Diceros bicornis minor: one gene and its partners. The protein of the gene in region 1 interacts with the protein of each later gene in a pairwise test. Links are inferred from orthologs where the notes say so. Each region holds a gene or a part of one and is shown in the gene's direction. Other genes may lie near its edges.

Region 1 (8,095 bases):
GGATGCATATTTGGAAGGCAAACACCAACATAAATTAAAATTACATTAAAATGGTTGAGAGTAGGTGAGGCCCCCTTATTTTGGGGGAGGGGGTCTTTTTGGATTTCTGCTGTCAATTCAGAGATGCTGGAAGGGCAAAGGAAAAGAAGCCAGAGCAGTGACAGAGAAAAGGAGATGAAAAGAAATTTATGATCTGGGATTGTAACCTCAAAGACCACTCTGGAGTCTGCTTTGATTAATTGCCCGAGGCATGCTTGAAGGTAGAAACTTGAGAGAGAGGGCGATAGGGACGTGTCGTTCTGGGACCAAGCAGGCGTCAGCCCTTGCCTGGCAATGATGAGTGTGTCCTACACAATTAGTTGTGGGAGATGTCAGGGAATGTCCCAGGGGTTGCCAGACCTTGGTCTTCCCATTTTCAGTGTAGCTGTGTAACGCTTTGAAGAAGCCCAAGTTATTAAAACATTCCTTTTCTCTCTGTCTTCTTAGGTGTCCTTTCTGGTAACTGGAGGCCCAGACTTGCCCACAGCGTTTCTCTTGAGGCTTTTGTACTTTGGTATATGCTTCCACTAAACTGAAACCTTGGTCAGAAAGTTCGACTTTATGTTAAATATTTTGAAATGTAAATGAAAAGAACTACTGTATATTAAAAGTTGGTTTGAACCAACTTTCTAGCTGCTGTTGAAGAATATATTATCAGAAACACAAGGCTTGATTTGGTTCCCAGGACAGTAAACACAGTAATACTACATAAATCAAGCCATTGATTTTGGGGAACAGAAGATCCATAACTTTAGAAATACGGGTTTTGACTTAACTCACCAGAGAACTCATCATAAGCATTTGCTGATAGAAGAATGGCCTAGTTGTTCCTCTCAACAAGGATACAGCCAACGCAGCACAGTCAAGAAGCCTCAGGTCATGGAAGACATGTATTAGGATTCTGGACTGTAAGGAAGTGAGAGAAGCCAACTTTGTCATTTTCACTTATCCCATTACCTCACTGGTCCATGGACAGCAACAACAACTTTTGCAAAATGGGCCAAAATGAGTGGAAAAGGTCTGTCTCCTGCCTCACCTTGATGCTGCGACTTACACACTTCAATCCAAGACCCGAACTGCTAGGAGAGGAGTTTCTTCAGATTGCTGGGCGGCTCAGCTGAGCAGGTGCACAGAGGAGATCGTGGCGCAGTAGGGTGGCCCACAATGGCCTTCCCCAGCACGATTCTGGGTGTTTTCAGTGAGGTCTGATGCTCTATGTTTAGAGCAAGGGCTTGGAAAACAGAAATGCTGTCATGGAGGTGCTGAACACAAGAGAGGCCAGGTCTAGTACATGTTGGGAATTACGAGCAAAAGAAATATTAAACTAAATGCACAAAGTATAAAGTGTAGCCATGTCTAGACACCATGTTGTATCTGAATAATTTTTGTGCCAATAAATGACATCAGAATTTTAAAAACATGTATATGAGTGGCTTTTTATTCATGATCATTAGTTCATAAAGGAAGCAGTTATTCCTTCAACATTCATTAAGCACTTAGTACTAGCAACTACACAGGATGTGGGATCTACACGACGTGGTCCCTCTCCTCGCGGTGTTCACAGGCCAGACAAGGCAGAGGCGGCGTCACCTAGGAGCGGACTGACAACTCCACCAACCTAAGCGGTGAGAAGAGCCACGTCCAGAGGGTGAGCGTAAGAGGGGGCACTAACTCACTGGGCGAGCCAGGAAAGCCTGGGGGAAAGGGGGACATTTGCCACGGGTCTTAAAGGAGGAGTGGGAGTTTGTCAGATGAAGCAGATGAGGACATTCCTGGCAGAATCGAGAGATAAAAGCACAATATCGTGCAGCAATGGCAAGTAGTAACTTGAACAAGATTAGATTGCAGGTATTCAGCCACTGTTGATACATAAAATGGCAGTTTCTCACAGCTGGACCTCAGAGTTCAGCATATCTGGCTCAGTGGTCAGTACGGAATAAAAGGAGTAATAGGAACTAAAAGGAGGCTACAAAGCAGAGTGAGGCCAGACTGGCCTTGCCTCAAACGGCAAGGAGTTTGAACGTGATGCTGTGGACGACAGGGAACCATGTGAAGTTTTAAAACAGAAGTAGAATCTGAGTCGTGTTTTTAAGAGCCACCTGGTGTCAAACAAGTGGAAAGAAAATGAGAAGCCACAAGATCTAGTCAAGAGGCTGTTGCAATAATGGAGAGGAGAGAACATTGAATGGAGCTGGCCAGTACTATGTTTGGGTTCCTCTAAAGAAAGAGCACACCTGGGGGCCTGACCACGGCGTAGCGGTTAAGTGCGCGCGCTCCTCTGCTGGCGGCCCGGGTTCGGGTCCCGGGTGTGCACTGACGCACCGCTTGTCAGGCCATGCTGTGGCAGCGTCCCACATAAAGTGGAGGAAGATGGGCACGGATGTTAGCCCAGGGCCAGTCTTCCTCAGCAAAAAAAAAAAAACGAGGACTGGCATGGATGTTAGCTCAGGGCTGATCTTCCTCACAAAAAAAAAAGAAAGCATGCCTAAAGAGAAGTTCTTCCAAAGAAGATCGTTTTTAGTTGTTCAAGTAAATTTTTTTTTCTAAATTCCTATGGGCCACAGCTACCCAGTGAGAAATACTGTATCATTATAAAAGCTATTCAAAGAACTTGTGTTAGGGGAGCATGAGAATTACAAGGCCAGGAGGCATATCGTATGTGACTTTGTATCCCCAAAATCTGCCAGAAGACCTAGCCCACAGTGGTATTCCATATAGGTTTGTTTGAGGACTCTTCTATTAAAAACAAAGATGGATTTTTTGGATTTTTAGTGATACTAATAACAGTTTTAACCTTCACAGCTAGAAAATCTCATACCTATCTTAAATTTTCCATGAACAATCTTGTTGTTGTTGTGAGGAAGATCAGCCCTGAGCTAACATCCATGCTAATCCTCCTCTTTTTGCTGAGGAAGACCGGCTCTGAGCTAACATCTATTGCCAATCCTTCTCCTTTTTTTTCCCCCCAATGCCCCAGTAGACAGCTGTATGTCATAGCTGCACATCCTTCCAGTTGCTATATGTGGGCCGCAGCCTCAGCATGGCAGGAGAAGCGGTGCATCGGTGCACGCCCGGGATCCGAACCTGGGCCGCCAGTAGTGGAGCACGTGCACTTAACCACTAAGCCACCCGGCCAGCCCTCCATGAACAATCTTAAACCATGTATCAACTTTTGTGACAGAAAATGTGATCACCATAACTTTCTTGGTTCTACCTGAAATAATTATCAATGACTACAGTGATCTTACCATTCATGAAAGATAAAGGGCATAGGAATGAATGGACTCAGGGAAATTGTGGCAATCAGTGGTAAAGACATACCTCAGGACAGGAGAGTCATTGGGATTAAGATCTTTGGTGATGGGCGGGCCCAGTGGCTTAATGGTTAAGTTCGCCAGCTCCGCTACTGGAGGCCCGGGTTCGGATCTCAGGCGCACACCGACACACTGCTTCTCCGCCCATGCTGAGGCTGTGTCCCACATACAGCAACTAGAAGGATGTGCAACTATGACATACAGCTATCTACTGGGGCTTCGGGGAAGGAAAAAAGGAGGAGGATTGGCAATAGATGTTAGCTCAGAGCTGGTCTTCTTCAGCAAAAAGAGGAGGATTAGCACGGATGTTAGCTCAGGGCTGATCTCCCTCCCCAAAAAAAAAAAAAAAAAAAAGATCTTTGGTGAATCCAATGGGTTTTAAGTTACATCTAAGCAAATCCTTTGTTGAGATGAATTACCAGGGGCAAGTGAGGAAATAATCAAGGCATTTGAAGACAGTCTAATTACCCTATCAATCCAGATTGTTTCACACAACTGCTTTGTGAAGGGAGGGATGTGGCAAAGAATGACTTTGGGGGTCCTTACATTCACAGGGTGCCATAGGCTGGGCCTTAAAACTCTGGGAGGCATGTAAAGTGGTTTGTAAGAGTCAAGGCTGTAGTGTCAGATTGCGTAGTTTCAAATCTCAGCCCCACATCATACTCCCTGTGTGACTTTGGCCAAGTTACTTAACCTCTCTATGCCTGTTTCCTCCTCTGAAAGTGTGCATAATGGTGTGATCTACCACATAAAGGTTGTTTTGAGGATGAGATAATAACCATGGAAAGCACTCAGCACAGCCTCACATGTGATATTACGTTGAACTATATGAAATAAGTGCTCAAAAGTATTAGTTGTTAAAAGGAACAAGGCTAGGCCTTTGTTCTGCCAGGGCACCTGTGTACCTGAGGTACACAAATTGGGGGGGAAATGAAAAGTATCCTGCTAAAAGAATACTCCGAATAACGATGACAGGTAACATTTGTTGAACACTTACTAAGTCAAACGACTTGTATTAAGGATGTGCTACCCCGATCTTAGGAGAGAAGATACGCCCTGCTGAGCTTCCCAAAACCCATCCCCTGAGCTGCGTGATAATACAGTGCCTCCTTCATAACTATGCTCTTCCAGGCATTCATTTAACAAATGTTTGAGTTCCCACTATGCCTTACCAAGAGTGGCTCCAGCGGTGTAGATGGGGAGGAACGTCTGACTGCAGGAGTTCGAGAGCACTGGAGGTGACTAAGTACAGGGGGAGCAGGCAGACGTCTTTTCGAGTTCACCTGTAAGAGGCAGGAGAAATGCGCCGGTGGCTGGAAGGAGGCGTGGGGTCGTGTTGTTTTTGTTTTGTCTTTTTACTTGGGAGAGATACCGTCACATGTGTAGGCTGTTAGGAATGAACCTGTATCCAGGGGAAAGATAGGTGATGCCAGAGAGAGGAGATAATTGCAGGAGCCACGATCAAGTTGGGAGGGGGAGGCACGGAACCAGAGCTTGGGAGGAGCTGACTTTAAATATGAGAATAACTGGGTCCTCCGGGTCCCACCCTAAATCACAGATTGTTGGGACGATACAATCAGGTTAAACAAAAGATGCAAAGCCCCCCCGGTGGGGCGCTCAAGCCTGAAACCTCAACGCACGTTGCCCGCAGCTCGTCCCCCGCGACGACAGCCTTTGCACATGCGTGGTGCGCGCATGTCGCGTCGGCCCGAGGCACTCTCGCGAGAAGAGCCGTGCAGGCCGGGAAAATGGCGCTTCCCAGTCCCGGAGATCCCAAAGCCCCGTCGACAACAAGCGCGGCCAAGTCCGACGGAGAGATGGTGCTGCCGGGCTTCCCGGACGCAGACAGCTTCGTGAAGGTGAGCTCGCGGGGCCTTGGGGGCACCGGGAGCCGCCCGCGGCCGGCCGGAAGCAGGCCCGGGCCCTCTCTGCGGCCGCACTCCCGGCCGTGCGCGAGCCGCAGCAGAGCCCGGGCGGGGGGCGAAGGGCCGTTACCCGCGCCGGGCACAGTCTCTCCCTTCACCCCCGGGGATGGGGCCTCGCACGCGGACGCTGAGGGACGCTCTGCTTCCCAGGGCCCTCGTTCTCTCCTTGGAGCGCATGCAGCTCTGAGTGTGGAGCGCCGTCTCCGCGTCGTGGGAAGGGCCTCCTTGTCACCCTGATGTCCCCAGCCCCCCCCCCCAGGCCTGAGCCACCCATCCAACTCTCCGGAGGGACTCCGCAGCTTTAGGCTTCCCACAGCTGCCGGCGTCCTCCCCTCGCGCCTCTGGGATGGCCCTTCTTCCCTCTCCGGAGGTCCAGTCCTACATAATCCCCAACCCTGGGTTTAATGTCCCCGTGAGAGCTGTCACCGAGTCAGCCTCCTCTAAGTGCGTTAGCACATTTATCAATGCCTTCTTGAAGGAACACAGGGTTCAGTTAAATTATTTGTGTATTGATGTTTAAATATGAACAAACATAAAACTAGGTTTAAACGCCTCATGCAAAGCTGTTACGAAGCCATGAAGCTAAAATAACTTGTAAGTTAGCACTACAAGTTCCAAAAACTCCACTCACGTTATATCTAATAAGCAGATGCTATTGTTAATTCATTTATTTGGCTCTGAGTTGTTCCTGGACCACTAGCCGTGGTCCTGATTAGGTGGCCTTTGTGCTCACAAGCCACCATATACTCACGTGACTCAAGTTCCCACCTCCTTTCTCTCATTTTTTTTTGGAAAATGTTTATTACGCAACTCACAATGATGTCATTTGGCCTTCACCTGACCAACCATCATTTATCTATGACAGTCACTTCAGGTTTTTTCTCATGACCACACAATTAAAATAGACAACTACTTGGGGCCGGCCCGGTGGTACAAGCGGTTAAGTGCACGCGCTCCGCTGCGGCGGCCCAGGGTTCGCCGGTTCGGATCCCGGTTGCGCACCAACACACCGCTTGTCAAGCCACGCTGGGGTGGCGGCCCATATAAAGTGGAGGAAGATGGGCACAGATGTTAGCCCAGGGCCAGTCTTCCTCAGCAAAAAAAGAGGAGGATTGGCAGGTGTTAGCACAGGGCTGATCTCCTCACACACACAAAAAAAAATTATTCTGAAAAAAAAAAAGAAAACGTAGACAACTACCTGGCACTAACTGGACCATAAACACAAGTCCAGTTGTGGGCAGTAGCCATTATAAATTGGTCATCCGAAGGACCTAGAATATTCTTATATTGTTTTTAGATGCTCTTCCCAAATGAAAACACAAAAATAATTTTCTGTAGAAAGCTCATGGACCTGAATTTGAGTAGTAGTAATAATAATGGCGCTTATGTGCCAGGCGCTAGCCTAAGTGATGTATGTAGTTGTTCTTTCTCTCCCCACTCTCCCAAGAATATAAGCTCCAAAACTTGGTTTCGTGTTCACCATTGTTTCCTTAGGACCTAGGGTAAAATCAGCACTAAATGAATATTTTTTGGATGTGTAAAGATAGGATATCTTCATCATCTAGCACAATGCATTATATGTAATGCACATATATAGATCTTGAAAAAAAGTTGCTGAATGAATGGGGACTCCTGTTTAAATAAACATGCTTGTTTTTGTGGTTTTTGACAGTTTGCTCTTGGGTCAGTGGTGGCAGTCACCAAGGCATCTGGGGGCCTACCACAGTTTGGCGATGAGTATGACTTTTACCGAAGTTTTCCTGGCTTCCAGGCATTTTGTGAAACACAGGGAGACAGGTTGCTTCAGTGGTAAGTACTACATATTGTTTTCTTGTGTTGAAAGAACTGAATATAAAGAAGTAGATAATTTTTCCTAAAATTTGTTTTTTCTTTCCATAATTTTCTATACTATAAAGAGCTCTGAAATGTAAAAATGAGACAATGGATTTTTTTTTTTTTTTTTGGTGAGGAGATCAGCCCTGAGCTAACATCCGCCAATCCTCCTCTTTTTTTTGCTGAGGAAGACGGCCCTGGGCTAACATCCGTGCCCATCTTCCTCCACTTTATATGGGACGCCGCCACAGCATGGCTTACCAAGCAGTGCGTTGGTGCGCGCCCGGGATCCGAACCAGCGAACCCCGGGCCGCCGCAGCGGAGCGCGCGCACTTAACCGCTTGCGCCACCGGGCCGGCCCCGAGACAATGGATTTTGATTAGGGAAGCGTTACTTGGTAACTTTTGAGTTTAACCTTTAAAAAATGTATTGACTTTTGGGCCAGCCCAGTGGCCAACAGTTAAGTGCACGCGCTCTACTGCAGCAGCCCTTGGTTCAGATCCCAGTCGCACACCAATGCACTGCTTGTCAAGCCATGCTGTGGTGGCGTCCCATATAAAGTAGAAGAAGATGGGCACGGATGTTAGTCCAGGGCCAGTCTTCCTCAGCAAAAAGAGGAGGATTGGCATCGGATGTTAGCTCAGGGCTGATCTTCCTCACACACACACACACACAAAAATGTATTGACTTTGGATGCCGGCCACATGATGCAGTGGTTAAGTTCAGCGTCCTCTGCTTCGGGATCCGGGCACAGACCTACACCGCTCCTCAGCCATGCTGAGGCGGCACCCCCCACACAGAATAGAGGAAGATTGGCACAGATGTTAGCTCAGGGCTAGTCTTCCTCAAGCAAAAAAAAAAAGAAAATGTATTGACTTTTGCATCTATGGACAGTGAATCTTTTTGAATTAACATGGGACTTGAAAACCTAGATCCAAGATTCTCTAACACAACTTGCAGAGTCACAAGTATTAGCTTTCTAAT
Region 2 (7,012 bases), on another chromosome or scaffold:
AATTCAGTTTCCCACTAAAAGCAACCAGTGCTTCTAAGAGGAACGGCTGATTCAGGTCTGGGGCAGGAAATGTACAACAGTGGAAGAACAGTTAGACCAGAAAGCAAGGAAGGTATCCACGACTGTGAGGGCCACGCCAAAAGGACAAAGTAGCCAACGTGAGGGGCTCCCACTGGCCTATGATGGGAGGATTTGAGCACCAAAAAGAATAATTACTGCAATGGATTGAAACATATGAAATATATTTTATATTATGGATTCACAATGATACTAAAAATAAAAAATTGGTCACTTTTGTAAAATTCCAGGCAACTATCTCATTATTTTGAAAACTTGCCTTTTTTATCTTACCTTTTATATATGAAAGGTATTTCAGGGTAACTGAATAGCCAAGGATGAGATTTTTTTTCATTAGAGAATTCCAGGTAATACACGAAGGAATGATACAATTAGAATATTTCACTTTGCAACTCCCAGTGAAATAATGGATTTAGGTAACGATCATCAATGACTGCTAAAACCATTAGGTTAATAACAAGCTTGATAAATGGTGGGTCAGGCTAACAACTCCTGAACCTGTGGGTCCATCTTAACACCAGAGAAAATCAGACATTACACGCCTCCTGATGTGATAAAAGAGGAGGTATTCAGCATCACTCACACACTTTTCTTGATTAAAAAACTCAAACACACATTTGATCAAGTCGCTACATGTAACTACCAGTTTACAAGAAATTCAGGAGACAGAGTAAGACGTTAAAAGGCACCAAGGGGATGCAATCAGTGAAATTTAAATTGTGAGAAATGACACAGGACAAATGACCACTTGTTGGAGACAAGGAAAAGGAAAAAAAGAGAAGAGAAGAGGTTATCGATTAAGAGACTAGAGGCATGTTGCTCAAGTGCTATGTGTGTGAATGCTGACTGGAACAGCCTGACTGTACCAAGACACACAGGAGGCATTTGAACTGACCGGATACTTGACATCACTGAATAATGGCTACACTTAAAAAAACATCTGTGACAACCTTTTTGTGGTTTTATTTATTTTTTTTTTTTTGTGAGGAGATCAGCCCTGTGCTAACATCCGCCAATCCTCCTGTTTTTTTTGCTGAGGAAGATGGCCCTGGGCTAACATCTGTGCCCATCTTCCTCCACTTTATATGGGACGCCGCCACAGCATGGCTTGCCAAGCAGTGCGTCGGTGCGCGCCCGGGATCCGAACCAGCGAACCCCGGGCCGCCGCAGCGGAGCGCGCGCACTTAACCGCTTGCGCCACCGGGCCGGCCCCTGTGGTTTTATTTTTAAGAGGGAGTCCTACCTTTAGAGACAAATGCTGAGGATTTACAGATAAAATGTTATGTCTTGGATTTACTTCAAAATAATTCACAAAGGAAGTGGGGGGGGAAGCATGTATGGAGGTTGAATATATAAGATAGAAGATTAGTTGTGGTTTTTTTTAGGTAAGGGGGAATGATTTAAATGCTCTAGCATTTTTAAAAAACGAAGTTTCCCTAGCTATGTGATATTTGCATATATGAGCTCACCTCTCCAAATTGTTTCCTCACCAGTCAAATGAAGTTAATGATAACATTTATGCCAGTGTTGTTTCCAACATCAAATGAGATAATCCCTGTTAAACACTGAATACCCAACATATTGTAAGGACTCAATAAATGGTAGCTCTCATAATCACTTCAGGCTAGTGGGATCAAATACTTCCAGCACAACCTCATAATGTACACATTTAGATTTGTGCAACAGATTCAACATGAGGCAGATCCAATGTAGGATTTTGTCAAACTCTGCCCCACAAAACCCCTGAAACCTCTATATACCACTAAGGGAAAGAGGACTTCTTTCTCACTCAGACACAAATCACGAAAGATGGCAAGATACACTGCTTTTTCTCTATCGAAACTGTTTCCAGCTGTGAGTTTACAATATTTGCGGCAAGACAGCAGAGTGTTATTTAGGCTGTTAATCTGAATGTCAAGGAAGCAGAAACCTCTCCATTTACTAACTAGATGGCAGGCCCATTCCAAATTATACGGGAGAAAGGTCACTTGGCAAATTTTCTATTACTTATGGAACAGCAATGTATTTCCGTGTTTCCAGAGTAATGGCAAAGAAAATTCGAGTTTGAATTCCATTGTACTGCCTCATTTAGAAGCAGCAAATTTAGGGTGTTTAGTTCTGGGAGATAAAGACCTCCAGACATATGGTAACCTCAGGCCTCATCTATTTTGGTCTCCCTATGTCCGTAGGGGGTCTCCCCATCCAACGACTGATTCCAACCTGTAACAGACGGCTGCTGTCAGTGCTGTCACCACTTCCTATTTGCTGAACCACACACACCTTCTGGGGGCTCAAGACCTCCCCGGACGGAGCCAGACCTGCAGAGGCTGCAGACCCGGGAAGAAGTCCGGGAGAGGTCGGGGCACACAGGGCGGGTGGGCAGTGGGTCCGGGTACCAGGGGAAAGTGAAGACTGGGCGAGCACGTCCCAAAATGAACAAGCGTACAAGGCTCTGAGCACAAAGGGAGATAAAGCTCCAAAATAAAAATAAAGAGCGGAAGAAAGGGGGCGTGAAATTCTAGGAGAGGAAATTCTGGGGTCCAGGCTCGGGGGAAGCAAGGTAAAAAGGGACACGACGAGGAGCGGGCAGTGCGGAGGCGAGGACGCCTGGGGGCCGCGTTTCCAGGAGAGCAGTGAGCCCAGGCCCGCGTCGGTCCCCAACCCCTCTCCTCACCAGTATTAGAGCTGCGGCCAGCAGCGCCGCGCCGAGCACCGCCAGCTGCAGGAGAAGCGGAACCATCCTCCATGCCCGGGCCGCCGCGCCCGCCCTATCCAGCACCTACACACACGCGGAAGCGCGGCCGGCAGCCCCGCCTCCCGCCCGCAGAGAGGACGCGCCGGCCGGGCGCCCGCCGCCCACAGCGCCCCCGCGCGGCCCGACCGGGACCAGCCGCCGCCCACAGCGCCCCCGCGCGGCAAGGCGAAGAACACCTAGTAGTTCTTGTCTGCTAGGCGCTCAGAGGGTGGAGAGGCAGGCACTGTGTTTCCCTAGTAGGGTTGCCAGAATTAGCAAGTAAAATATAGGATGTCTACTTAATTTGAATTTCAGATAAGCAACTAATTGTTTTTTAACAGCCTTATTAAAATATAACTCACATACCATACAACCCATCCACTTAAAAGGTGTTGGTATACTACATTTTTTAAAACTGTGATAAAATAAAATATAAAATTCTAACCATTTTAAGTGTACAATACAGTTGTACTAATTACATTCACAATTTCCTGCAGCCATCACCACTCTATTTCTAAAACTTTCCCTGCTCCCCGCAGCCCTTGTTAACAACAAAGTAACATGCACTATTCCAGGCGTACTCATAGTAAAAAGAAAAAAATACTTTGTTTATCTGACATTCAAATTTAATTGGATATCCTGTATTTTATCTGGCAACCCTATCAAGGAGGGATGCGGAAGCCGTAAGCCACGACACAGCCTTCAACACAAGCTGCTCCTTTGGAACCCGCTCCGGGGACCTGCAAAGAGTAACCTGGCGCGGATACGAGCGCACAGAAAAAGAACGTGCTTCTCCGGTGCTGGAGCAGGGAGCCCTTTACCTGGGAGAAGACAAGCCCAGGGCCCGGTCTGAGCCGGAGGCGGGGAAAGGACGGAGAAACATTGGAATAATGCTCCACACTCAATACTAGATTCTTGGCTGTTAGTCGGTTTTCTCTTAAATTCTTGAACTTCCAGACTGTTTCTAAAGAGAGCCGCTCGTCACTTCACTAACAGCAGATTCGCCAAAACACCTCTAAGGCAAGGAAAGCCAGACAGGCGTCCGGCTACGGACGGTGGAAGCGAACGTAGTGCGAGCGCCCCCTCGCGGCGCCCCAGCCTCCTGCGTCTCTGCAGCGGGAGAAGGGCGCAGGCGTCCGTGTCCAAAGTGTGGAGGCGGAGCAGGCGCGCGAGCGGAGCGCGGGGTCGCCCCGGCGCCGGCGCCGGCGCAGGCACGCGGGCGGGAAGATGGCGGCCGGGTTCAAGTGAGTGTCGGTGGCCGGCGGGCGCGAGTTTGTGCGCTGGTGCATCGCGGCTTCCTTTAACCCTTAGCTGGGATTTTGTCACCTGGAGGGCATCCCACTAGGTTCCCACTTCTTTCCCCCTCGGAAGCGGGCGAGAGGCGGCAGGACCGGAGGTGGTCGTAGTGAAAGGAAAGGGGGCTTCTCCCCGAAAGGGAGGATGGAAGGGACTGTGCCTCGAGTTCGGTACTTGGGGCGAGCGCTTGTGGCTTGGTGTGTGGTGGACGTGCGGCGCCAGGAGGCACAGTTGTAATCTTTTAAAAAGTGTTGCATCAGAACCACACGCTATCGTATTCTTCCTCTCCTGTAATTTATCTCTAAAAGGGTTATGCCTTGTTCGGAAGGTTTTACTTAAACCTTTTTTGTGCCGCTCTGGCGAAGCCTATAGATTTTCGTTCTCAGAGGCAAGTTTTTAAATGGATGAAATAAGATTTCAAAGGAAACCAATTATATTGAAACAGTTATCTGTATAAACTGCGAGTTCAGGTATTTTAGGTACTTGTTTTAAAGTTGATTTTCTTAAACAACAAAATCTGTGGGGAGTTTAGTAACTAACTCTTGGAATTTCAAAGTAACAATGAGTCTAAACATACCTTCGACAATTATGAAGTAAAAACGAAAACATTTAATCTCTGATTTTTTTAAAGTCGCAAATACTGCTAATATGACGGTTTATTGCCTACAGTCATAATTGAAGAATATGCTCAATTTCAGTGTAATTTAGATAGTGAAAGTAAAGATGTAACTCTTTTTCATGTTCACCAAGAATTCCTGCTTCAGAGCGAGAGTGACATCATTATTTTAACACCTGGATTAATCCTCTTTTAAAGATGCACAAGAACTTTGGGCTCCAATCCTGTAATTGTTTAACGCAGAATTAAGGACAGCAGTCGAGTGTGATTGCTCCTGCAAGCCTATCTACTTTTTATAATTAGTTACATGTGGCAACACAAACATCAGAATTCATGAAAGACTCTTAGTTACAAATTGTGGAAATTTATGCTGCATCACCACACTGCCAATTTCTGGATTTATGTTAAGATTCATTAACTTACCTCAGATATATTTTTAACACGTGTTTCAGAACTGTGGAACCTCTGGAGTATTACAGGAGATTTTTGGTGAGTAAAGGTGGTTATGTACATGCTATGCCTTTTGATAATACCTTATGCTTCTTTTAAAGACAATTTTCATATATACAAATGTTGAACCATGTTGTACATGTGAAACTAATATATGTTAATTATACCTCAATTTAAAAAAACAATTTCAAGTAATTCAGATTAATTCGAGTTAACGAGGTTTAATGTGTTTTCCTTGGTGTGTGTAAAATATAGATGTAATCTTTCATAAAAATATATTTAGAAAGAGAACTGCCGTCCTGATGGAAGAGAACTTGGTGAATTCAGAACCACAACTGTCAACATAGGTGAGGATATTTTGAATTCTAATAGAATGTTGAAGTTGCTTTGATTTTTAATACTAGTAAAGAATTTTTGTTTGTAAAGTTTTTCTTTAAACTCACTGTTCTCTCAATTGATATGTTATTTAAAATTTTAAAGTAACTATTTTTCCCCTTCCTTCCTTCAGAATCTCCAACACAGGGTGTTCTTATATGTCTTAAACTTATTAAATCCTCTGTTGCAAACACTGAATTTTCTAGTTTTACCTGTATGACATTGCCAAGTTGTAGCCTCTCAGCCACTTAAACAGTATTTCAGCCAAATTCTACCATGTTTAAGGGATTTCAATGATTTTGTGTCATGAGATTTTTATCTGTATAACAGTCCTGTGCCTGAATGAAAATGATTAACAAATTCAAGGACAGGTGAATAATACTTAAAACAATAATTTTAAATAATTATACCATTTTAAAAAGACTCAGGCTAGGAATAAATTTTCATAAGCCACTGAGATGTGTAGCAAGATAAAATCATAGAAAACGAAAATACTTCTTATGGTCTTCATTTTGCTTAAATACTTATCTTTTCAGGTTCAATTAGTACTGCCGATGGTTCTGCTTTAGTGAAGCTGGGAAATACTACAGTAATTTGTGGAATTAAAGCGGTAGGTTTAATATATGTCTTACTGAGATTTAAGTTACCAAATTAGCTTCATATACTTATTATAGACACCTATAATTCTATTGTTGATTAAGCAGTCAGGTGTCAGTTTTTTAGTATTTGTTTTCATTTTCCAAGAGCTTTCACCTTTGAGTATTAGATAATATGACCCAAGTTTAATGAGTCTTAATTTATGAACATTCACAAAATACTAAATAAAACCATTTAAAAAATCCTCACCACCTTTAATTTTTAGAAAATTTGTCATCTGAGAAATTGAGAGATTTTTGGTGACATCCTTTTGTCCCGTGATGGCATTTAATCTGTGCAAATGTGTAGAAAATCGAGATTGTTCAAAAGAGAAGCCTGAGAGGACAATAGCTACTATTTACTGAGGGGACAACAGCTGCTATTTACTGGGTATCTGCTGTATTTCAGGCACCTTGTATTAGGTGCTTTACAGATTTATCCAGTTTAATCCTCAGAAGAATCATTTGAGATATAATTTATCTCTTTGTCTCCTGTTTTACAGAGGTTCAGTAATGTGTACAGGAACATGTCTCACAAATAGAACTTAGATATAGCTGACTCCAAAGCCTGTTGCTTTTTTGAGTATGTTGCACTCTGTGAGTTTACTTAACCTAAGTTAAGATTCTCCCTCCATAAAGCTGAGGTGTTACCTAATAATAAGATTTGAGCACTTACTCCTTGCCAGGTTGTTAGGGACTTTACATCTCACTTGATCTCATTAACATTCCCTAAAAGTAGGCTCTGTTAATTTCCCATTTTACAGATGAGGAAGTTGAATGGTAAGAAATTAAATAACCTACCCAGAGTCTCTCAGCCAAAAAATATGG
Region 3 (7,632 bases), on another chromosome or scaffold:
TCCAAGCGCCTCAAATCCAGATTAGGTTCCCTGTCACAACTCCTATCTCTATGACACCACTGAGCACCTGTATCCTTGTCTGTGGCATACTCTCAGGTAGTTCCCCCAGCACCTACCAAAGGGCCAGGAACATAAGAGATGCTCAAAAATATTGGTTAAAGAATGAAAAAGGCAGGGGGCAGAAAAAATAGGAGACTTTGGCTGTCACAGTCATAAAGTAATAAGATTTAGCCATTAAATTCAGGGATGGTCTCATGACAATGGAAAGAAAGGAAAGAATGGGGGCACAATAAAAAAGAAAGCCAAATGGAGAGTTCACAAACCTGAATTCTGAGTTGATGCAATTTGGTACATATAATTAGGAGACTCATCTAGCTCAGTAGTTTCCAAATCCTGGCTGATCATCACAATCATCCAATAATTAGGAATGACTTTTGTTTTTGACGTGTTTTAAATTTCCCCTGGTCATTCTGTCATAACCACTGACTGATGTCTAGGAATTACTTACCTGGATGCCCCATAAGGTCACTTCCAGCACCAAGTTCTAATTTAACCAAGATAACCACGAACAAGTAATAGATAGGACTTAGTAAGTAACTGAATGTAAGAGCAGAAGGGATGTATTACACTACTTAGATTTTTAGACTGGTTGTCCTACAGTCACAATTTGCACGTAACAGGCAGCCAATAAATACTTCCTCACCAAATCAAACAGGGAAGCAGGAAGAGGGAGCACATTCTGTGAGAAGGGATAGATTTCATGTTGGATGTGCATTTTCCAGCTGACACTACCAATTATTTGTCCTTTGGGACTGTGTCAACAGAACTCTCTTCCTTCCTGCCTTAAATAGATATTTGTCCTTGACATTGCTGTTTTGGCTATTACAATGATTACCTCTTCTTTGTTACAGCACCCAAGTTCTCTTTAAAGAATTACCCTCCCCGCTTCTGCATAGTCCTACAGGGACTATAGAACAGGTCTTGCTCTCTCTTAGCTAACTCAATGAGACTCTCTCCTAGACTTTGAAAACTTGAGTAGCGTCCTAAAAGCAGAGAAATCAGTTGGTGTTCATCATTCTTGCAGTGGCACTAAGTTAATTCCTGCTTCCTAGATCCCTGGGCTGCCCTGGATTTTGTCCTTTTAACTTGGCCTTGTTCTCAGGCTTTGTTACTACTTCTATGAACTATCTAGTATCCTTCTAATAAATCCCCATTTAATAACCCATTATCAATTTCTGGTACTTGCAAAACAAACAAAAGAACAAAAGCTACTAAATAAAGAGGAGGAAATGCAAGCCATAAGTGTAATCTTAAATTTTCTAGCAGCCTCATTAAAAAAAAAGATGAAATCAATTTTAATGCTAGGTTTTATTTAAACCAATACATTCAAACTATTATTATTTCAACATGTAATCAATATGAAAAAATATTGAGACATTTTACTCTTTTTTCATTTCAGGTCTTTGAAATGTGGTACTTATTTTAAACTTAGCCCATCTCAACTCAGATGCTAAATTTTCAAAGGTTAAAGTCAAATGCAGTCTTTCCAAAGCAATAAAATATATATAATGGGAAAATATTTTACACTTCTAGTTTTTAAGTTTAAAATTAAATATTCAGTTCCTCAGCCACATTAACCACATTTCAAGTGCTCAGCAGACACATATGTCTAGGCTTCCTGTACTGGGCTGCACAGCCTTAGATACGGTCGGCTACAAGAGTGAAGAGACTCAGGGGACCTTTTCTTGATGGATACAGTAACTGGAAGGAATTGGAAGTTTTCACACTTCTAAGAAATTCTATTAGGAAAGGATTCAAAATCGATTGTATGTGTGAAGACCTACAGAAATCTCTCTTCCTTAAAAACAATGTTTCCTTGGCTGTGTAACTAAAACAGGTTAATACACTGAGTGAGAGACTTATCTTCTGTGTTCTACAACTTAGTAGCATAGAGAGATCAAGGAGTTATCTTCCCTGACAGGGAGTTTAATTCAAAGTTAAAATTACACTATTACTCTTAAATCACTTCTCATTTATTACATTTTGATGGGTTGGAAGAGACTATAGGGATTAGTTTTAATTAAAAGTATTTTCATTGTCAAAGAAAAATGTAGGAGTGGCAGGTTGAAGAATTTGACCTTTACTCCTCAGACAATAAGTTATTGTAAATTTTGAAGTAGGAAAGTGACATGATGAAGCCTATGTTTCAAGAAAATGAATCAGAATCCAGTGTGCAAGTAGACTGGTACAACAGAAGGCCATAGGAAAGGCGTGGAACTTCTAGCAGCTTAGGACGCTCTTATTTCTGCCAGGAATTGTTTTCCTCTTAAGCTGACAAGATACATGCTCATCCTTCAAGATGTCAGCTGTTTCCTAGCTGCAGATGGTAGACTGGGTCACTTCTTCACCTCTGCTTCCACAGAACTTCTTTCCAAATCCTGAACACAAGTCAAATTCACAGAGGCAGAAAGTAGAATAGTGGTTGCCGGGGGTGGAGGGAACGGGGAGTTACTGTTTAATGCGTAGAGTTTGTTTTGGAAAGTCAAAAGTGTTGTGTGGATGTATGGGAGTGTTGGTAGCATAAAACTGAATGATTGGAAGGCCTTTCCCCAAGCTAAATCCTCCCTTTTCAGATCTCCACTTAAATGTCACAGCTTTAAGAGTCCTTTCCTTTTCCAAGCCAGAATGGTTTAGGTTCCTTTGCTATATACTCTCACAAACCCCTTAGTTTTCTTATAGGGCTCTTATTACAACTGTAATCTATAGCTAATTATGTGTATTAGTTTGCTAGGGCTGCCATAACAAAATTGTATAGACTGGGAGGCTTAAACAACAAAACTTTATTTTCTCAGTTCTGGAGGCTAGAAACTCAAGATACAAGCGTAGGCAGGTCTGGTTTCTGAGGCCTCTCCTTGGCTTTCAAATGGCCACCTCCTCGCTGTGTCTTCACATGGCCTTTCCTCTGTGTATGTGCATGCCTGGTGTCTCCCTACGAAACCAAACTTCCTCTTCTACTAAGGACACCAGTCAGACTGGATTAGGACCTACCCTAAGTGCCTCGTTTTAACCTAATCCCTCTTTAAAGGCCCTATTTCCAAACACAGTCCATTCTGAGCCAAAATTCTTATGAATTTTGGAGGGACACAATTCAATTCATAACATGTGATTACCTCTATTGTTCCCTTGTCTTGCTCTCCTTTTGGGACCTTTACAGACACTAGTCTCTCCTCTTAGAACACTCTACCTCCAACTCTTCATACAACAGGTTTTTCTCAACTTTCAACCTTAACACCGCCCTCTGACAAGAGCCATCCTGGATCACCTTACCTAAAGTAACCCTACAGGTCGCTCTACCACATCATCGTCTTTCTTCCACGGCATCCACAAGAATGCCAGCTCCAGGAAAGGGAGGGCATGTGTTTTTACACACTATGGCTGCCCAGAGCCTGGCCCAGTCTACCCGTAGTCATGAACGAACTTCCATAACCGCTTACCACACTGCAATGCCTTTATCCACTCCACTGAGAAAACCTGCCAGGGCAGGGCCACGTTTTTATCATGTTTCTTGAATCTCAGCTCTAACACTTACTAGCTGTGTGAACTCGGGTAAGGCCCTTAACCCCTCCAGGCCTGGGGTTCCCTAACTATAGGATGACAACAATATCTTCTTCAGCGTTCTTACGAGGACTAGATAACACACGTAAGGTAGCCAGCAAAAGAACGTGGCACATGGTGCAGGCTCTCAGCTGAAATGCTATCAGGTTGGGTGTCGTCCGAAGTGCAGCACCTGTGAAGGGTGTGAGCAACGTCCCGAGGTGGTACACAGGGCACTGAGCTATCATCTCAGCTCTTCAGATTCAAAGAAGGTCGTCCTCGCCACCTCACGGCGTTGACTATCTCTTGCTATTCCCCTATTCAACACAAACATCGTTTAGGTTCAAAGACGCACACAGCCGTGAACAGCCGACTTGACCACGGTTTCCGTGGTATTTCCAGAGCCAGACTGCCTGGGTTTAGACCCACCTCCCTCACTCTCCTTCGGGCTCGTTAAGGAACCTCCCTATACCCCAGTTTACTCAACTGCAACATGGGGACAACGCCAGTGCCCCCCACGGGGTTACGGCGAGTATGAACTATTACACGACGCAGAACACTGGAATCCTGCCATCCATGCTAGAAAAGTGGGAGAAACAGTCCCTGCGGCGTGGTGTGGCAACCGTCTCGAGGGTCTCACAGGACGACTGAGGCATCGACGCGGCAGGACCGGGGGCACGGGGGCTGGGGGCCCGGCAAAAGCCCTCGGGGAAGGCGGCCAACAGGTCGGAGCGGCCGGGCCTCCTCCGACTGCGGCCTCTTTGACGTCTCCCTCCCGGGGTTAAGTCGCTCTTCCCTCCACTTCGACGGCCGGGCCTCACCCCGAGCTTTCCCCTCAGGCGAGCGCTTCCTGAGGCGACGCGCGAAACACCCGGGACGCTCTCGAGCGCGAAAAACGTGGGCGCAGCCACGGTGCGGGATGACGCACGCTACGTAAGGCGGTGCCGCTGCGCACGCAGCACCGCGCATGCGCGGCGGGGATAGTGGCGGAGCGCCGGGTGGGAGCCAGCATGGCGGCCGAGCGCAAGACTAAGTTGTCTAAGAACTTGCTGCGCATGAAGGTGCGGGGACGTGGAGGAGGCGGGCCGGGCGGCAGGGGTACCTGGTCTCCCCGACCCGGCCGGGGCTGAGGCGGCGAGCGCATGGGGGCACCAGAGAGGCCCCGGAGCCCTCCAGCTGTGGCGTTCCGTCATTCATTCAGCGCCTGCTCTGCGTTAGGCATTAGGAACCGGATTATAAATCCGGCGGGTTCTCGCACAAAGCCCGCGGTCGGATAGGAGAGACAGACACGTGAGCAAGCAGTTAGGATACAGTGTAGTTAGTGCAGCGCCGCGAGCCCCGGAACTTCCTTGGGCTTCTGCGCGGAGCGGCCCTCAGGTAGAGACTGAAGGGGGAGAGGGGGTGCACAGCGACGTAAACCGAGGGAAAAGCGAGTTCAGAAGTCTGAGAGGCAAAACCCAAAAAATCCGTTGAGATTTCCAAGAACTAAAATAATTCAGTGTGTCTGGAAGGCAAGTAGCAGGAAATGGGCCTGGGAAGGTAGCCAGTGGTTACAACTATGTAAGGAATTTGGGGCCAGATTAGGGATTCTTTTATCTTGTGAACATTGGGAAGCTATTGAACAGTATCGTTAGCTGTGCTTCTTTTCAAGGTTGCTTAACTGTCCGGTGGAGGATAGATTGGTGAAGGCACAAAATTGCTGTCAGAAAGATCAGCTAGAGGTTCTGATGATCTGAGTGAGGGTTACAGTGGTGATGGGAACGGGGAGAATTATAGCAGTTGAGGTGAAAGCGAGTTATGTCACCCAACTTTAAGCAAAATTGATTTTTAGATTTGAAATTAAGTCAGTTTAACCAAATAATTTCAAAGGGGGAAAAAAAGACAAGCGTGGATAAAATGAATACAGGAATTAAAACAGAGGAAGCAACCAAACCTTGAAACTTAATAGCAAACATTTATAGTTTTTGCTGTGTGCCAGGCACTGTTCTAAGTGCTTTGCATATATTAACCCATGAAATCCACATAATATCCCTTTGAAGTGGGCACAGTGGTACAGCTGAGGCAACTGAAACAGAAACGTAAGTAACTTGCCCAAAGTTGCACAGCTAGTAAGTAGAGTAGACAGGACTCAGACTCAGGCAGTCTGGCTCCAAAGCCCCTGCTCCTAATTACCACTCTATACTGCTTGTCGCTGAACACAGTACTTACAGATGCAGACTGTTAGATGTCACGTGTAGAGAGTTGTGGAATTTCCAGGAAAAAGAAGCATAAGTAATATTTCGGGTGTAACTAGTGATGAATAGGGCAAGTGAGGGTGGGGGTAAATCGTGGCATAATTTATAGTTTCTAAAGTACTTCTTTGATGCGTATTAGCAAAATTTGAATCTTTACTGAACAGAGTTTTCTTTTGGCTTATGGTTTATAATCATGTAGATTTCAGAGACGTAGAATGGATTGACAAAGCAGGCATTGAAAAGATTTTAGAAGTTGTTTTAGCTCTTGGAATAAGTCAGATGAAGATGTGCTGGGTGATTAGGGCTCAGACCAAAAATCTGACTCTGGAGTTAGGAAGGAAGAAGTTAACTTAAAAAAAATTATCCACCCCTACCCGAGTGGTTGAGGGAGACTCAACTGGATATTGGAAGCAAAGGAGAGGAAAAAAAATTACCCAGGTTCTCTAGTTGGGTTAGCAACTTCAGTTATTGAAAAGGAAGAACTTATTGGCAGGATAACAGGAGACACTATGTATACAGATAGAGTGGAGTGTCCTTTGAGAAGGAAAGGAGCAAGCTGCATTAGGTTGCCCATATCCAGTGTAGCTGTTAGAGCTAAGTATAGAGCAAGAATGAGAGGGTTGAGGATTTAATACTGACTCCTTTGTTTTCAGGTGTGCTTGAAGTCATCTGACCTGGTCAGCTACTGGGGGCTGGTGGGTGATCCTGATGGGCAGTGGAAAGTGAAGGATGTATGGGAGGTCTGTCAGTGTGATGGAATGGTTGTAGAGAGGGCTCTTATTTGTGATTTTTAGCTCTTTCGGACTCTTAAGACAGGAGTTGGTGAACTTTTTTTGTAAAAGGATAGATAATAAATAAATTAGGCTTGTGGGCCAAAAAGTCATTGTTGCAACTACTCAGCTCTGCCATTGTGATGCAGAACTGAATGAGGTGGCTTTGTTCCAGTAAAACTTTATTTATAACAACATTTATTTATAACAACAGCCTAGGGACTATAGTTTGCGATAACTGCTCTAGTCCCTCAGCTGTGAATAAAGCTAAATCACTCACTTTGGAGTGTGTTCTTAGATGCTGTAGAGTCAGGAGAATTGTATTGCTACCTAAGTCGAGTTCCTTGATTCATATTCACATATACACATATTCCATGTGTACAGCTATTATATATATACAGCTATTTTGTATGCCATAATAATATCTCCTTGACTAAAAATAGAAGATAAAAGGGCATTTGGGCAGGATTGGTGAATTTTACCAATAAAACTATAAGTGATGAAATGAGGCATCTGGGTATAAAGAGAACCGTCCAAGAAAGGGAATCTGGAAAAATAAGACAAGTCTAGACTCACTTACGTTCAGAGAACCTTTACTGAACTCTTTTTGGGTACCAGGTGCAGCCTGAGTACCGGTAATACAAGATGAAGAAGAGACATGGTATGCTCTTCAGAATTTCAGTCTTGGGAGACACAGAAGAAGCATAATGAACAAAAGCCAGTGTTTATAAGGCTGTCTTAGAAATGGGAAAAGGTATTCTTTTACAGGAACATGCCTGGAAAGAGCTTGGCCAAACAACAGTCAGTGGAGGCCCAAAGGCCGTGTGCTCTGGACCTTCGCAAGTGCATATTTTGCCAGGCAGAGAATGGAAGCATGATGTTGAGTAGCAGGGGCAAAAGGACTGGGAGGTACAGGGGATGCATTCCAGAAACTGCCAATTCTTTCCTGTGGTGAGGGTATAGACACAGAGGCAAAAGGATGAGGACCACAAAACACTTCAGATAGGATTGCAGACATTTCTTTTATGTTTATT

Evidence for each region.
Region 2: the proteins of EXOSC10 (region 1) and EXOSC8 interact in binary tests that used the Homo sapiens proteins (3 or more experiments, as listed by UniProt). The link is inferred for Diceros bicornis minor from reciprocal best matches to the Homo sapiens genes EXOSC10 and EXOSC8.
Region 3: the proteins of EXOSC10 (region 1) and MPHOSPH6 interact in binary tests that used the Homo sapiens proteins (3 or more experiments, as listed by UniProt). The link is inferred for Diceros bicornis minor from reciprocal best matches to the Homo sapiens genes EXOSC10 and MPHOSPH6.

The regions. Positions count from the first base shown.
Region 1 is NC_080752.1:30,363,453-30,371,547, reverse strand, and holds the start of EXOSC10 (exosome component 10), read left to right. Parts: upstream 1-5,050; 5' UTR 5,051-5,101; coding exon 5,102-5,212; intron 5,213-6,950; coding exon 6,951-7,087; intron 7,088-8,095. Other genes in the region: serine/threonine-protein kinase mTOR, read left to right, coding at 487-502. UniProt on the Homo sapiens protein: Catalytic component of the RNA exosome complex which has 3'->5' exoribonuclease activity and participates in a multitude of cellular RNA processing and degradation events.
Region 2 is NC_080748.1:19,385,107-19,392,118, forward strand, and holds the start of EXOSC8 (exosome complex component RRP43), read left to right. Parts: upstream 1-3,996; 5' UTR 3,997-4,039; coding exon 4,040-4,056; intron 4,057-5,176; coding exon 5,177-5,213; intron 5,214-5,457; coding exon 5,458-5,521; intron 5,522-6,085; coding exon 6,086-6,159; intron 6,160-7,012. Other genes in the region: ALG5 (dolichyl-phosphate beta-glucosyltransferase), read right to left, coding at 2,753-2,818. UniProt on the Homo sapiens protein: Non-catalytic component of the RNA exosome complex which has 3'->5' exoribonuclease activity and participates in a multitude of cellular RNA processing and degradation events.
Region 3 is NC_080771.1:31,512,276-31,519,907, reverse strand, and holds the start of MPHOSPH6 (M-phase phosphoprotein 6), read left to right. Parts: upstream 1-4,576; 5' UTR 4,577-4,604; coding exon 4,605-4,655; intron 4,656-7,632. UniProt on the Homo sapiens protein: RNA-binding protein that associates with the RNA exosome complex. Involved in the 3'-processing of the 7S pre-RNA to the mature 5.8S rRNA and play a role in recruiting the RNA exosome complex to pre-rRNA; this function may include C1D.